Styela clava: one gene and its partner. The protein of the gene in region 2 interacts with the protein of the main gene of each other region in a biochemical or structural test. Links are inferred from orthologs where the notes say so. Each region holds a gene or a part of one and is shown on either strand. Other genes may lie near its edges. The genes, in order: coatomer subunit delta-like and coatomer subunit beta-like.

What was found.
Region 1: the proteins of coatomer subunit beta-like (region 2) and coatomer subunit delta-like form a complex in vitro, tested with the Homo sapiens proteins (2 studies listed by BioGRID). The link is inferred for Styela clava from reciprocal best matches to the Homo sapiens genes COPB1 and ARCN1.

The regions. Positions count from the first base shown.
Region 1 is NC_135253.1:7,646,588-7,654,016, reverse strand, and holds the start of coatomer subunit delta-like, read right to left. Parts: upstream 3,101-7,429; 5' UTR 2,957-3,100; coding exon 2,954-2,956; intron 1,840-2,953; coding exon 1,716-1,839; intron 1,251-1,715; coding exon 1,111-1,250; intron 727-1,110; coding exon 547-726; intron 1-546. Other genes in the region: KIF-binding protein-like, read left to right, coding at 4,623-6,431. UniProt on the Homo sapiens protein: Component of the coatomer, a cytosolic protein complex that binds to dilysine motifs and reversibly associates with Golgi non-clathrin-coated vesicles, which further mediate biosynthetic protein transport from the ER, via the Golgi up to the trans Golgi network.
Region 2 is NC_135255.1:10,256,624-10,264,631, forward strand, and holds the start of coatomer subunit beta-like, read left to right. Parts: upstream 1-4,794; coding exon 4,795-4,969; intron 4,970-5,834; coding exon 5,835-5,986; intron 5,987-6,607; coding exon 6,608-6,777; intron 6,778-7,170; coding exon 7,171-7,324; intron 7,325-8,008. Other genes in the region: TM2 domain-containing protein 1-like, read left to right, coding at 3,184-3,732. UniProt on the Homo sapiens protein: The coatomer is a cytosolic protein complex that binds to dilysine motifs and reversibly associates with Golgi non-clathrin-coated vesicles, which further mediate biosynthetic protein transport from the ER, via the Golgi up to the trans Golgi network.

The DNA of each region.
Region 1 (7,429 bases), on a different chromosome or scaffold from region 2:
TTAGTTTTGCCGGTGCTAAGCTAGAATTACCCTATAACCCTACAAAATAATGTTTTCAAATAAAACAATGCTGATCATTGTTGTAGTAGACTCACTTAATATGCAGACTCATTAAAAACCTAATAAGGCTTTAATCAAGTAATACTTCACAACTAACTCTGAACAAAAGAAAACTACGCTTACACAACGAAATTACTTACAAAGACAAAACAGACACTTTTTTAAAAACAGCGCCGATTGCACAATCAGATAACGTTTGGCCGGGGATTCTATAACAAAGGTGTTTCCTCTCCGCTGAACCCCTGATACTGACTCATCGAACCCCTGGGGTTCGATTGAACCCAGTTTAAGAACCACTGCCTTATATCAAACTGAAATAGATAGCCATCGTAATATTTCAGTAGACGCTGGTATCTCAAAATTACTATTAACCAGAACATAAAATTTAAATTTAAAAAACGAATGTGGTGGAAACTTGACTTACCATTCGCCAAGACCAACATTCACAAAAAATAAATGATTTTTGTTCAAGTCAGCTTATCTTACCTTACGAACTGCCCTGAACACTTTCTCTTCATGAGAATCCATCTCAGTAAATGTTCGAATCTGTGCAAGATTGACACTTTCACGATATCCTAGAGCTACAACTTCATCAAATGCAAAGATCAATTCAAAAGCATGTTCTTGAACATCATTTTCATCCAGGATTCGACAATACTCTGGAATCTTGAATAACAATTATTAATTATGATTCAATTTATAATAATCCAATTAAGACAAGGAAAAAGGGTGTGAAAACAAAGCATAAAATCTTTAGAAAACATGATTTCAGCATGATGTTGAGTAAAGTATGATCACAACTAACGATCACAGACTCTAATAAACAAATAAATTTGGGGCTTGATTTCAATTCATTTTCTCTATAATTTTCAAATTGAATTTCAAGGATACAAGTAAAATTGAAATTAACGAAAACATGAAAGGTATTTTGTACATATAATCTAAATAGAATAGATTTAAAAAAATTTGTCATTATGTGTTGGTGTTAGAAATGAGCTTGCAGAAGTTCTATCCTTTCCGATATTAGAATCTACCTCAAACTTTACATACCAATCTTGAGAACAATCTTAGTGTTTCCAGATCTTCTAAAATATTACTATTCTTTGTAGTGATCAGCAACATATACATTTTCTCCAGAGGTTGATAGACATATCTCACTGATTCTGTTTCGACAAATGTGTGTTGTTTGCCTGAAGAAATTGATAAATTGATAAATTTCTATCCTCGAAAGTAGATAAAAGTAAGATTTTCATATTATATCCTGGGAGGAGAAAAGTCGACGAGACAATGCAATCATATGGCAAACCTTCGCCTCTCGTCCAGTGCCAGTTGGGAACAGCTAGCCAGTTATTAGAAGCCATAATGAACTAGTAATTGAATAAACAAGGAATCGGTCGGAGACCAAAGACTTATACTCTATAGTGACACCGCGTGTCCCATCACTAATTAATTAATAACTCGCTAATTATATGACATAAATCATCCAAAATCAATAGGCTTTTGACCCAAGATATGATGAATGCACATGCATGTTTACATTGTTACATGACAGAATATTATCATGATTTTTTTGGTTGTTGAAAATGCTTTATTGAATCATAGAACTAGACACTGTGATAAGGCATCAATAAAATAGGTAAATACTGAAGTTCTACCTGTATTCATTAATTTAGGAAATGCCGCAAGAAGACCTTCAATTCTTGATCGAGTCATTTCTACAAATTGCCGAGATATGATGGCTCGACCATTTTTGGTCATTACCGCCGCTGCCAACAGCACCTAAAAAATTGAAATAATTCAATCCATGACTCAACGTTATAGTCAGATAGTAAACTTTGTACATTCAGTAGGGCCTAGTTCTCCGATTCAAAGATGTTCCAACGTAATTGGTTCATTTAAATAAATACTCTGTCTCTGAAATGAGGAGCATCTATATATAGTTTAGTTCGGTCAGTTAGTGGAAAAAAAGTGAAAACACATAATTTTTATGGCAGTATGACCTTAGGCCTACGTTGAATATAGGATAGGATTTACATATTTATCCCGGGGGAGAGGAAAACCGATAAGACGACTTAATCATATGGCCAACCACGGCCTCTCGGGGTCTGGTATAGTTTAGTACCACATGCACTTCTAGATGGCCTGGCTCGACAATTTTTGCATACGTTAATCCTAACCCCCACCTGACTACGTCACCAAAAAATTACGTCATTTGGACGTCACAGTGGCGTAATGAGACCCACCAAAGTATGGAGATGGTCGTCCAAAACACTCGGACGATCACCCGAAATCGGGCAAGCTAGTTCTCTCGTTTTTGCCTCACAACGATCACCATAAGAGAGAGATCGTCGGCGTTAGCGAGTTCATTATCGGCGGCGCAGATGCCATTTCGGGCGATTGTAATTATACTTTGGCAAGCCATATCACGTGATGGTGACATCCTAGTGACGTAATTTTTGGATGGCATAGTCAGGTGGGGGTTAGGAATACCATATGCAAAATTCGTTATGCTACGCCCACTGGAAGTACCTGTGGTACTAAACTATACTAGACCCGCCTCTCGTTCGGTTACCAGGTCGGGTATGGGATTAGTTAACCAGGTATTTGTTTTCGGAAGAATGGAGTTGATATATAGAAATAAGATTTTATATTAATTTGAAGGACTGAATGAGATAATAGCCATGGAGTTAAGTCTTAACACTGTTTTGAAAAAAAAATATAAGCAATCCATCTCAACACAGTAACAGCAACTAATTAACAATTGAACATTGCCAGATTGCGTTAGCCTATATCTGTAACGTTATATGGAGTCAGGTTAAGTTAGATCGGACCATAATTTGAATCCAAAACTGGTGGTCATATCATAGATTCATATTCCATAATAATCACTTACCATATTGTAATTTATAGATTTCCAAACCTCAGAAATGTGAAACAAAAACGACACCGATAGCCAGTATGCCAATGCAGAAACCTTGTTCAACAGGCAGCCACGTCAGTGCTAGGCATAAGTACGAAAACGGCTGAATGGAGACTACTGCGATGTTCGATAAATTCGATTTATCATCCCCGCGAGATGTCGCGCTAGAGTAATAAAAATTCTTATTACCCATTTACTTCAGTCTTCACTCCGCGAGTTCGTTGAGATGAATACGATGCAGTATAATATAGCCTACGGTAAATATAAGTATATTTTGAGTACCGGAATTTCGGCAAATAGTACCGGTATGCATCGTATTGTCGTATTTTTTATATTTATTCAAGTGTGATCTTGTTTTCCCAATTTTTTTTTATGTATGTATGTTTATTCGTCTCGTAATAGTGATAAATAAATGAACAATTATTCATGGCCCCTTTGTGCATATTTTAAATAGGTAGATATGCTTTTCTGTAGTGAATGAACTGGGTAATTCTGAAGATAAAACCTAAATAAATTTCATTATGCACTTCAGTGTTCTTAATTCATTTTAATAATTGGATGTGAGAGAATTTCATGTTGTGAATTTTTATATTATATGTCGGGACGGCGGAAAAACAGGCTAAAACCGGGACTGTCCTGGCTAAACCGTGACGTATGGTAAGCCTATGTATGACCATAGTTGTGATTCGAACCTTCCGTCACCACTGTGGAGCTAGCAGCAATTTCAACCAGAATATTTTTACACATTGAATATAATTTCCAAGCGCATATATGATTCACTTATAGCTATATATAAAAATTGAAAAGGCTGATTAAAATATAATTTTACCACGGAATCAGATGAAAAATCTTTAAACTAAATAAATACAATAAATTGGACGAGAAAATATTGTTTAAAAAAAGATTAAGTAAGCGAAAAATGAATCTAAGGTAGCCAGGTTCCTAATTTTTTGCGAAAGCGTTTATTAGATTACAATTCAGTCTTTCTTCGTTGTCAAATATAGCTACCGTAAGTAGCATGCTTCTAGTGGGCGTAGTTTTACAGTTTTTGCATTTGTCAATCCTAACCAACACTTCGCTGCGTCATTCGAAAATTACGTCAAAGTGACATAACAAGGCCCTTCAAACTGTACAAACTGTCATTCAAGCACACAGACAGTCACCTAAAATCTAGCAAGCTATTTCTCTTGTTTTTGCGTTGCAACGATCCCGATATGACTGGCGGCGGCGCAGATGCCATTGTGGGTGATCCCCCTATACTCTGACAAGCTCTATTAAGGAAGTGATTGTGATGTCGTAGTGACATAATTTCTGGATGCCATAGTCAGATGGGGATTAGGATTGACATATGCGAAAATCGTTATGCTACGCCCACTAGAAGTACTTGAAGTACGAAACTACACAAGACCCCAGTAATAGTACATTTTGTAAACATTCACTGGTCCCATTGTTTCCAGAATCTGAGAATATTGATCTTTTTTTTCTACTTTCTTCTTAGTTAAGTGGCGAAAATGCTGCAGAGCAAACCATTCAAAAGTCGTTGTGCCTATAGGCCTACTCATTAAAATACATTTTTTTTAACAGAAGAATTAGTACTATATTTCAGATTTATTTAATATACAGATATATAAGGAAGTTGGATATGAATTTTGAATTCAGTTTACCCCAGACACTTCTTGAATATTTTGAGTCGGAGGGATACGATGCATATAACAGTGTACGAGTTTTAACTGATGAAGAAAGTTTAAAAGATCCAGAAAATGATCCTTTCAAGTCAAAATACAAAGCAAGAGAAAAGCTGCAAGAAATATTGAATAGAATACATAAAGAACGAGAAGAAAATGAATCTGACCCATCCATGAAAATTTTAGAAGCTGCGATACAATATCAGCTAGGATTTAATTACACTCACACTGAGGAAAGACCTGCTGGAGAAGAATGTCTTGATAAGTGTATTGCTCTTCTGAAAGACGATGAACTTTTAATGAGACCAGAGGCTGTTAGCATTGCCATGATTGCATATTCTGAACTTGGAATAGTATGGGCTAGCCGTTATCAAGGCCGAGACGAGGCAATGTTCAACCTTAAAAAAGTTGAAAGTCTTTATAATAAATATAAGCATGAAGTGGGTCTTTCTCCTTTCGCTATTGATGAAAGTTTGCGTCCAAAGGAAGAGAAATTCACTGACATGCAACGTGATGCAAAATTTGAAAAGATTTTCACTCATACATTGTTTTACTTGGCACAGATGTACAAACAAAGTGATGAAAATGATCTATCTGCTGCATATTGTCAAAGAACTTTACGACGTCAACTGGAATCAAAAGAGTATGATCCAAAAGAATGGGCTGTGAATTCTGCTGGCCTATCACAATATTACATTTGTCAAAATATGTATCGTGAAGCAAAACATTGTTTGGCTTGTGCCAATGTCATTATGGAAGAAGCAAAACCTCAGGAAGGTCTACCTGAGCCGAAACCTGATGATGATAATGAGACGATCATGCTGAGAAATGAAATACCACAGAAGAAAGCAGATATCGCTCGTTGTTGGGTGAAGTACTTTCTCGCTCTTCTGGATTACTCAAAGGAACTCTTATATAATGATGTGTGTGAACTTGATGTTAATAGACAAGCAGAAGCTATACTACGACTACAATTAAATGAGGAAAATGACAATGATGTACCCAAAGATCATGACAGAATGCCTCTTGAAGTTGATTCTGTAGAAGAGAATGCGAGACATTTACCAGTCACCACTTTTGAAGAAAGTCGACAAGTGTTCCTAATAGCGAAAAAATATGTTGATTCTGCTCTTGAATTCTTTGTTATGGATGGTTTTGTCACAGATAATATTGAGCTGACGCAAGACATGAGTGCTCTGTATAAACACTTGATTTTCTTTGAGACAGAGAAAGAGAGAAAATGCAAGATGCATAAAAGACGGATAGACCTTCTTACTCAAGTTTTGAATGAGATAAATCCTCAATTTTTTCTTTTAATATGCAGACAACTTCAGTTTGAAATTGGGGAAATATATGGTGCGATGTTAGATTTAAAAATTGCAATTGCTAATGAGTCGACTCAGACTCCAACACACCACGCTATCAAGAAGATAAACCTATTGTGTAGGTCCAGTATATTATATTTCACTAAATTTCTTGACACACTACGAAATACTAAAAAAGTATTTCCTTTTCCATTTGATGAAGATGTTGAACATCCTGCGATTATTGCACATTTTCACGTCGCTAGACTGTATTCAAAAATAATTGCTCCTGTAAGATCTGAAAAATTAAATTTCTTGAAAAAGTCCTTGGAATATTATTCATGGATAGTTGACTATGTTGATCGTAAACCGGAATGTGAGGTAACAGTACAAAAGGAAGTCGAAATTTGCAGGGAAATGAAAGTCCTTCTCCCAAAGGCAATGGAACGATATATGGAATGAAAGATAATGGAACATTTTGTGAATAATGTTTTTGTGTGTTGTCGTTAAAACTTTCAGAGATCGTGGTTAAGAATTTCACACTGTAATTTTGTAACAATATTAAAAGGCTATGTTTTCCTTTCCCACAACCTTATTATTAAACTATTAGACCATTTTACCATTAGCCTTTGTCACAGCTGTGTAATTAGACTTTTTTGACCGCTTGTACCCAAGACTTCTTACATATATATTTGAGTTTTGAATCGTTGCACCACTTCATGTGAAAGTTAATCAGTATATTTTAAAACATTTGAAATGTTCTGGGTGTTTTTTCTTGATCATGGTCTATTTTCATAGCATAATTATGTTTTGCTTTTGTCGGTATTCTGCAACTCAATAATCTAGTACAGTTTTCCGCTCAGCTCAGAATAAGCACAGTGGTACATCATTTGCATGGCAAATTGTGTTTTATTATATCCTTCTTTCGTATTTTTTGTGTATTTTTTTATTTCATGAAGGTTCGAAATAGACACAATTTAAAACATTAGATTTACTGTAACCCTGTCACTTACCAAATGTAGTTCATTAATCAATGGTATGCACTTGAATTTGCACCGGGTATATATAATCGTCCTCTTAAAAATCTCTCAACTGTTCACTTGTAAGTAACATCACTGTGTTTTATATACCTAACTGGTTTTAATATTTCACGTATATTATATATTTGTAATTGTCCTATCATATAAACATTGAAATACAAGTTGGAACAGAGTGGCTATTTGTTAGCAGTATTGTGCAATCATGTTTAAGTGGATTAATCATGTTTTCGTAGCTGTCAGTTTGCCTCTCCGTAAAGTTGTAAACCAACTAAGCAGCTCGTCTTTGCTCTGTTTGCCTGTGAGGAAATCTATGATTTGATAATCAGTTTATATATAGGGTACTGATTTTGTGTCAATAATAATTTTCTGCCAAGCAAAAAGAAAATTCACTTCAGTACGATCTTGAGCGTTAAATTATGA
Region 2 (8,008 bases):
GAAATGATTATTGTCATAAATGCCATAAATAAGATCGGCAAAAAGTAATATTTGTGTCTCGAAAGTTTGGTGTGACAACTTCTGCGATTGGTTATTGAACTAATGAGCAATTTGGCTGTTATGAAGTTGGCCATTACACTAGTGGACAAGTCGCCAGGCACCGCTCATCTATCTTTTACTGGTGAATAAGGTTGTTTGCCAGAATATAGCGTTTGGTATCTCCCGTAATGTAAGATAATCGGGACAGTCGTGATCAGGCAACACTTCCAAAAACCAATTAGCATATTTCATTCTTACGGTCCATGTTACAGTCTCTAAAACGTTTCGCTGTGTTCAATCATTAGAATCGATATATATATAGCATTTTAATATTTCTGAAAAACTTTGGTTACAATGACTTGATGGTTAAAGTTACCATCACAGGGTAAAAGTCTCAGGTTCAAATAACATGACCATACCCTTACCTAGGATGTGATAAATTGGGTAGTCAACGTGTACCCTGGAAAGATCCCGGTCCCTTCAAACGATAGTAGCTTCTAGCAGTGACATTTATTCATAGCCTTGTTTTGATTGAAAGAAAGCCCCGTTTTGGCATAAGGAATAACTAATCAAAACATGAATATAAAAATTGAAGCATATTCTCGCGTTCTTGTTTTTCATTTGTTAAAGACACTAGGTATTTTAGACAGTGTGGCTATAATAAGTAATAAGAATGCGTTTTGTACTCTCCACGATATTCTGCACCTTAATTGCCCTTAGCTGTGCTTACGCCTTTTTGTTGATAAATTTGCCAAAGTTCGAATTAGAGGAAGGAGTAAATGACGAAGACGGCACGATGTCTTTTTCAAGGCGGCCTCCATTTATACGCGGAGCATTTACTCGGATGAATGGAAGGTGGGTGAATGTGCACAATATTGTAACAATATCTACTTCTTCATTTCCGTAGATTTATTATAACCCTGAGTATATGTCGTATATATCACCTTTCGTTAAATAAAATCTGAAATGCTGTTGGATAAAGCTTCTAAAGTAGCAACAAAACATTTTGTAATATTCTTGTGTTATATCACTTCGAGTTTTTTTCCTGTTAATAATCAAAATTGAATTCTTTTTTTAGAAGATGTGTGGCCATGCGAGCCGATATCCATTTACTTATAAATATTACGTTTTTATTCAAAATAACTTCGAAACATAGATTAATAATCATTTAAAACGTGTAGGATAGATTCCTTGCAATCGACTAGGTAAAAAAAAAATCGTGTTGTTGACTAGGTCTTATTTTAGGTGGAGGGCTTATTTAAAAAAAAATTAAATTCAAGCTAGGTCTTATTTTCAGGGTAGGTCTTATTTTCGGGGAAACACGGTAGAAGTGAATAACCATTATTTCAATACAAATATATCCTGTGGTTGAAAGTGGAAACTAAAATAGGCTACTAAAATATTTCTCTAACTTTGTTTATAAAATGGTCTGTATTCAATAAAGATATTATTTTATTCGGACTTCTTTTTCTCATATTTTTAAGGCGAACTCACGTCGTACCGTCGGATGGCTGGAAACGCAAAAAGAGAGAAATACAACACCAGGAAGGCGAGTTTGCTATTTATTTTATTACACATTGCACCTGTCATATCAAATATAAAATCTTGTTGAATAGTTTTGTCGAAATACTTGAAGGATTTTATGTTTTGCTTTCGATTGTATGTTTGTCTGTTATATAGAGCACTTAATTGCAAACATTAAAATAACGTTTTTTATTACTATTTTGTTTTACATATGCAGCCATAGACGAAGACATAGCACTTTTTGAGTGAAAGAAGAAGAAAGAAGAAATCTATTTTAAAATACTTTTTGTACAATAATAAATCTTTGCAATACGAAAAAAATCTCTTAAACGTTTCACATTTATGCGTTTTCTCTACGCAAGCGCTACTGACGAGGATGGTGTGGGAACCAAATCTAACTCAAGATGTAACAGATTTTAATCGCGACACCCCAAACAAGGATAATTACTTACAAGTCAAGTTTATTTTTTCCAACCAGAAAAAAAGTCAGTTTCACACAAAATATGAGGAAGATAGAAAATCACACATTTCATCTGGGGAAGGGAAGCCGAGAGGAACCAATGCTGGTTATCGAGCAGCGAGATCTAAATACAAAAAATACGCTTCGTTGGTTCGAAACACGTGCATTCAAGCTTGCTTAAAAGTCGGTTATATGAAACTGATACTATTGTGTTTGTTGTTTAACCGCGAGCGAGCCTAACTTCAAAAAATCGTCTGATTTTTGTGCAGATAGTGTGATATCCTATTTTTAATCTTGGTTTATTTTAGTTAACATTTCACAACTTACCAAGTTTATAAAAAACCAGAAATATAAAATTTCATTTTATTATTATTATTACTTGTCCCCACAAATTGTTTCTACGAAGATTCCCCACACAACAGAGGTTAAACTTGAGACACAGTGACGTAATGGGTAAAAAAAAATACTGAAAGAAGAGTCATATAAAAAAAATAAAAAAATTTATTTAGACCAAAAATCAGCAAAGCAGTCAAAAAATGTTTGATAAAAACAAAAATCACAAATTCTTGAAATTTCGGAATCATATTAAAATTAATTCCTGAGTATGGATTAGAAAATATGTCTAAATCACTGAAATTGGGGATCGGATTTCCCGGTATCCCATCCCCATTGCTTACTTAGGAATCGAATTCATATTACCGACACCAAAACAAATTGTATTTTTTCGGCCGTAGTTGTTATAAGAATATGAGCATCCATATTTCCACAAATCGGAGGTTTCAATACGAAAGTCAACTGTTGACATTTGGAAAACAAAATTATTCGAAAATATTGCAAAAATTGGTGTTTTTATGCTGGTAATTCAATAATTATTTGCACGCAGTATTCAAAAAGTATTCTAATAAAAATTTACAGGAGTTCAAAACCAATAATCTCCGTTTTTAACTTTTTTTTAAAACAGTCTCAAAATTTTTTTTTATCAAATCCTTCTAAATATAAATTTACGGTTATCCACTTCTTTGTCTCTTTCACTCGATGTCATAATTGAGTGTTTGTTTAATATATCCGACGCAGTCAAGCAAAAAATTCTCCCGAGACACGTCGCCGATAACAGCATTTTTTTGGTCGTAGCTGGTGTTTTCCGCCGCTAGTATTGTAATATGTGCCTGAAAGACGCAAAAATAGCAGCCTATTTGACGTTGCTGACGGTATTTTACTGTACATCGTATGCCCAAGATGCATGTTCTGATCTTTTACCAGGACAATACCGCTGTGCTGAACCTCAAATAGATGAGCATACTCAGGCTGTTGCCAACTGCACACCAGCTGGCAAGTCGAAGATTGACTGCTATCCTGTCAATGGTATAACATGTGATGGGAAATCGTTTAATGGAAGCCAAATTGGTTTCGAAAAACTAATAAACTGTACATATACTAATGGATATTCTTATACAACAGCACTTGGACTTTCAATTTTTCTTGGTTGGTTAGGGATAGATAGATTTTATTTAGGTTATCCAGCACTGGGATTATTGAAGTTTTGCACCTGTGGCATTTTTGGCTTAGGTGCATTTTTTGATTTTTTATTAATTGCATTGCAAGTTGTTCTTCCTGCCGATGGTTCAAATTATGTCATTGATCTCTATGGACCCCGATTGCGGGAAATTTCTATAAATGCTGAAACTTATTTTAAACCACAACTTGAATGATAATTTTAGACTGTTTTTGTATACTATATCCAGATATATGTATACTCTTATTTAACACTGTGCTATTTCTATTGATCTTATTAGAAGCAATAATCCAGTATGACCCAATTTGTCAAAATTATTAAGTGTAACTAGTCAGAATATATCATTCTGAAGTTATTCTCCTGTATTTGACTGCATACTAATATGTTTTCTGTGGTTCCGCTGAGCTAATAATATACCAATTTAAACTGGCCCTGATTTGGTTTTCTCAATTTTCAGTGCTCAAAATGTCATTCACTTGACTGAGTTGAACTGTATTATTTTTTTATTTGAGCCTGAAAAAAAATTCTTCAGATATTTAGTTTTTCAGTAATCTTTTGTCATTTTTCACTCATTTTGCAACTTTTTTTTGTATTGCTGTGTGGATATATGAAAAATCCGTTGTTATCTGTTTCATTTTTCAAACCAACAATAGTCTTTATATGTAATAGTAGTTTTGTTTTTTTTTAAGGGACATTCATAGTATGTTTCTATTTGAATGGAAAACTGCCTGTCATAATATGTTATTTAGAATGCAAATTTTTCTGATAGGATTATACCATTGCCATTCCATGCATTCTATTTCATATCTCAGATGATGAATATGGATGAATTTTGGAAAAATTATTGTTTTTATTTAATTTTTTCTGTGTTGTGCAGTATACTATTTTACCCGACTCAAAAGCAAAGCCTCAAGCGACCATTGAGAACTTTAGGAGTGTTAGTAAATTATCTATGAACCTAATTTGGTAAAGATATGTTAGTCTTGCCATATTAACTTAACAAAACTGCTCTTGGTGAATGAGAGAGCAACAATTGCGCAATTTTTATTGTGAAGCTGTAAATGTCTCACTTTACAAGCTACGATCTGCTATATAACATAACTTTCTTTTCAATGCAAGCTTTAAAATAGTATACCCCCTATTACTCCTGTTTTTTAATTTTTTTTATCATGTTTCTAAAATGCAATGTATTATTTTGTTCAAATATTTTTTGTTTTATTTGATAGATATTTAGATGTGCTAGTGCTTGACTTACAGAATGACATCAGCAGAAAGCATTTGTCACACTCTAATCAATGTACCGTCTGTTACTGATTCGGAGCCATCTAATGAATCACAATTAAAAGCAGATATCGAACATGGCGATATTCGTACTAAAACAGACGCTTTGAAACGCGTCATATTAATGACATTGAATGGAGAAAAACTTCATGGTATGATTTTTTTTGGTATTCAAATAAAATAGTTTATGATTATAATATGTCACATTCTTTTTCAACATATTTTGGGTTATTCATGAGTAATATAATAGTGCATACCAAAATATAAAAATTTAATAATATTGAACAAATATTTCAAAATAATTGGATCCATAGTATTAATCTTCAGTGCTGAGCAGAAACTGAAGTCATACAATTTTTTAAATTGTGAATAGATTTTATCGATACCATATAATATATATATTATAGTTCGTTTGCCTCTACGGGTTTATATGAGGTAAAAAATGGAAACCGATTAAAATAAAACAAGCCTGGTTAGGATAGATTGAGAATTGACTTCATTACGAAATTAAAATTGTAACAGGACTTTATGAATACCTTGTGTATATAGCATAGCGTAATATGTATCGTATGTCTTTCTTCGGAAGATAAAGAAATTGGTTGAAACCGTACATTTGAACCCACGGCAATTGCACCTGCTTACTATCATATCTAAGGATTTTTTATTGTTACACGGATATTTGAACCCATACTAACACTAACCCATGGGTTTTAGCCCTCACATATATATTGAACCAGCGGATATACACATGGGTTCAAATGTACGGTCACCAAAGAAATTCAAGTTATATAAGTAAGGAGATAAGCCACATCAAAATTTAAAATTTTTTGACTGTATTATAGAATAAATTATTTTGTGATAATTTGATCTGGGATATTCATTTACAGTCTGATTTGAATCCAACTGTATTTTTATACAGTATAATGAATATGTCTTTTGAATAGCTTGGAATGAAGTTACATTTTTGTGATTCGATTCAATGCAATTGATTTAAATTATTGCATTCTTTATTACAAGGATTATTGATGACAATCATCAAATACTTGTTGCCTTCTGAAGATCATACTATCAAGAAATTATTGTTGATATTTTGGGAAATATGGCCCAAGACGGACAACGATGGAAAATTGAGGCCTGAGATGATTCTAGTTTGTGATGCTTATAGAAAGGTGGGCTGCTTGATCATTCATGAATTCTATTAAAATTACGCTGAATAAGCATTTAATATGGAGGATTCCCAATATTTTACTAGATAATTGATACATTCGGTTATAAATTGGAAGCCAAATTAAAGCTTGATTGATCAAATTTCAAGTCAAGTTTATGGGTGTAAGTGTAACGGCCTAGTGGTGGCAGCGTTGGGCTTAAACATGTTGGTTATATTAATGAAATCTTGAGTTTTAATCCTATGCCCAGCAACTGACCTAATGTATAATATATTGGATAGATAAGGCCAACTGGACAGATTTCAGTCCTTCTAAAATATAGTGCAATGGCTGCTTGTTTGGAGTGGAAGATGTTTAAAATGTTGCATGGAAAAGTAATATGTAGTCAACTATCAATATCTTAGCATTGGTAATGTGTACTATGCCATTAATATCTTAGCATCGATAATGTCTACGAGACACGGCGACACTGTTTCATTGTTTTTTATCTGTTTGAATGATAAATCCCTATGTTGAAAATTGACTATTAAATTGTTTTAAAATTTATCTTTGTTTTGTTATGTATGACATTTTGATTAAATACAGTTCTGGATTACAGTTCTTGAAGGTTGTCTTTTATTGCAGGATTTGCAACATCCCAATGAGTTCATTCGAGGTTCTACACTTCGTTTCTTGTGTAAACTTCGTCAGGCAGAACTGCTTGAACCACTAATGCCTGCTATTCGTGCCTGTCTTGAACACAGACATAGCTATGTAAGAAGAAATGCAGTTCTTGCCATTTATACTATATTCAGGTAAGTATTCCAAAACACAACCACTATCTGAAATATGAACAACCCTTATAAGGAATGCAATTATTTCAGTCACACTAGGGCAGCATTTCTCAACCCAACAGGCAGAAAAAACAGAACGATTACTATTCTTTGTATGCAGTTTTGCTTATATTATTTGGTTATTCAGTTAATATTCGATATATATATATATATTGGATGCTTTGAAGTTCAAACAAACAACAGAAACAGTTTTCCGCATAGTGAGGGAGTAATAAGGGGATCTAAAAATAGACAAAGGCAGGAATATATTGAGAAAAATTGTAGACCACTGCAGTTAGGGATTTTGCTTTTCATGTGATTTTGACAACAGTCTCTCTTCTCCACATCTGTTTACAGACATTATTTATCTTCCAGGAAATTTGAAAATTTGATTCCTGATGCTCCAGAACTTATTCATGAGTTTCTGGAAGGAGAAAAAGATGCTTCGTGTAAACGAAACGCATTCATGATGTTGATTCATGCTGATCAAGAACGAGCTTTGGATTACTTGAGCACTTGTATTGACCAAGTAAGAGTTTTGTATTTAGTATGACACACATTGCCTGTTATTATTGTGTATATCTCAGTTTCAGTTTTTACTTATATATTTTAGTGCAATGTGTTTGTCGCATGCTTGTATCAGAGTTATCCAAAAGAATGGTTAGTGTACTTCCAAACATATTCATTTTCAATATTGTAATTTATTGAATTTAGAAATGATTTCTTTGAAAATGTGGGCATTTCAAGAATTTGCCTCTTAGGCAAGTTCATGATCCAAAACTTGTTTTATTCAACTTTTCCGAATAACAAAACTTGAAACTTTATTATTATGCAATGACCTCAGGCGTATTCTCTATAAAATATATCACATTTCATGATATAGAATGCTAATATTGCTTAGTGGTGTTGGAGTCTCCAATCTCTATTTAGAATAGTGAATTATTTGTTACCGGCTAATCGGCTATCCCTGGCATATATTTCATGATTTTGCAAACTGGTATTTCTGTTATGAACTTTATTGTGAATCTTGCTGTAGTAGTTTTCTAAACAGGTAAATTCCTCTTTTTTTGATTACCATTATATCGCTATGACTCAATTTAATTATGTAGGTTCAAATCCGATGGGTAATAAATGTGGGAGACATTTGCTGATTGCTGTACCCTTCAATCTCCACCATTGTAGGGTTGTTCTATTACCACTGGTCGGTACTGCC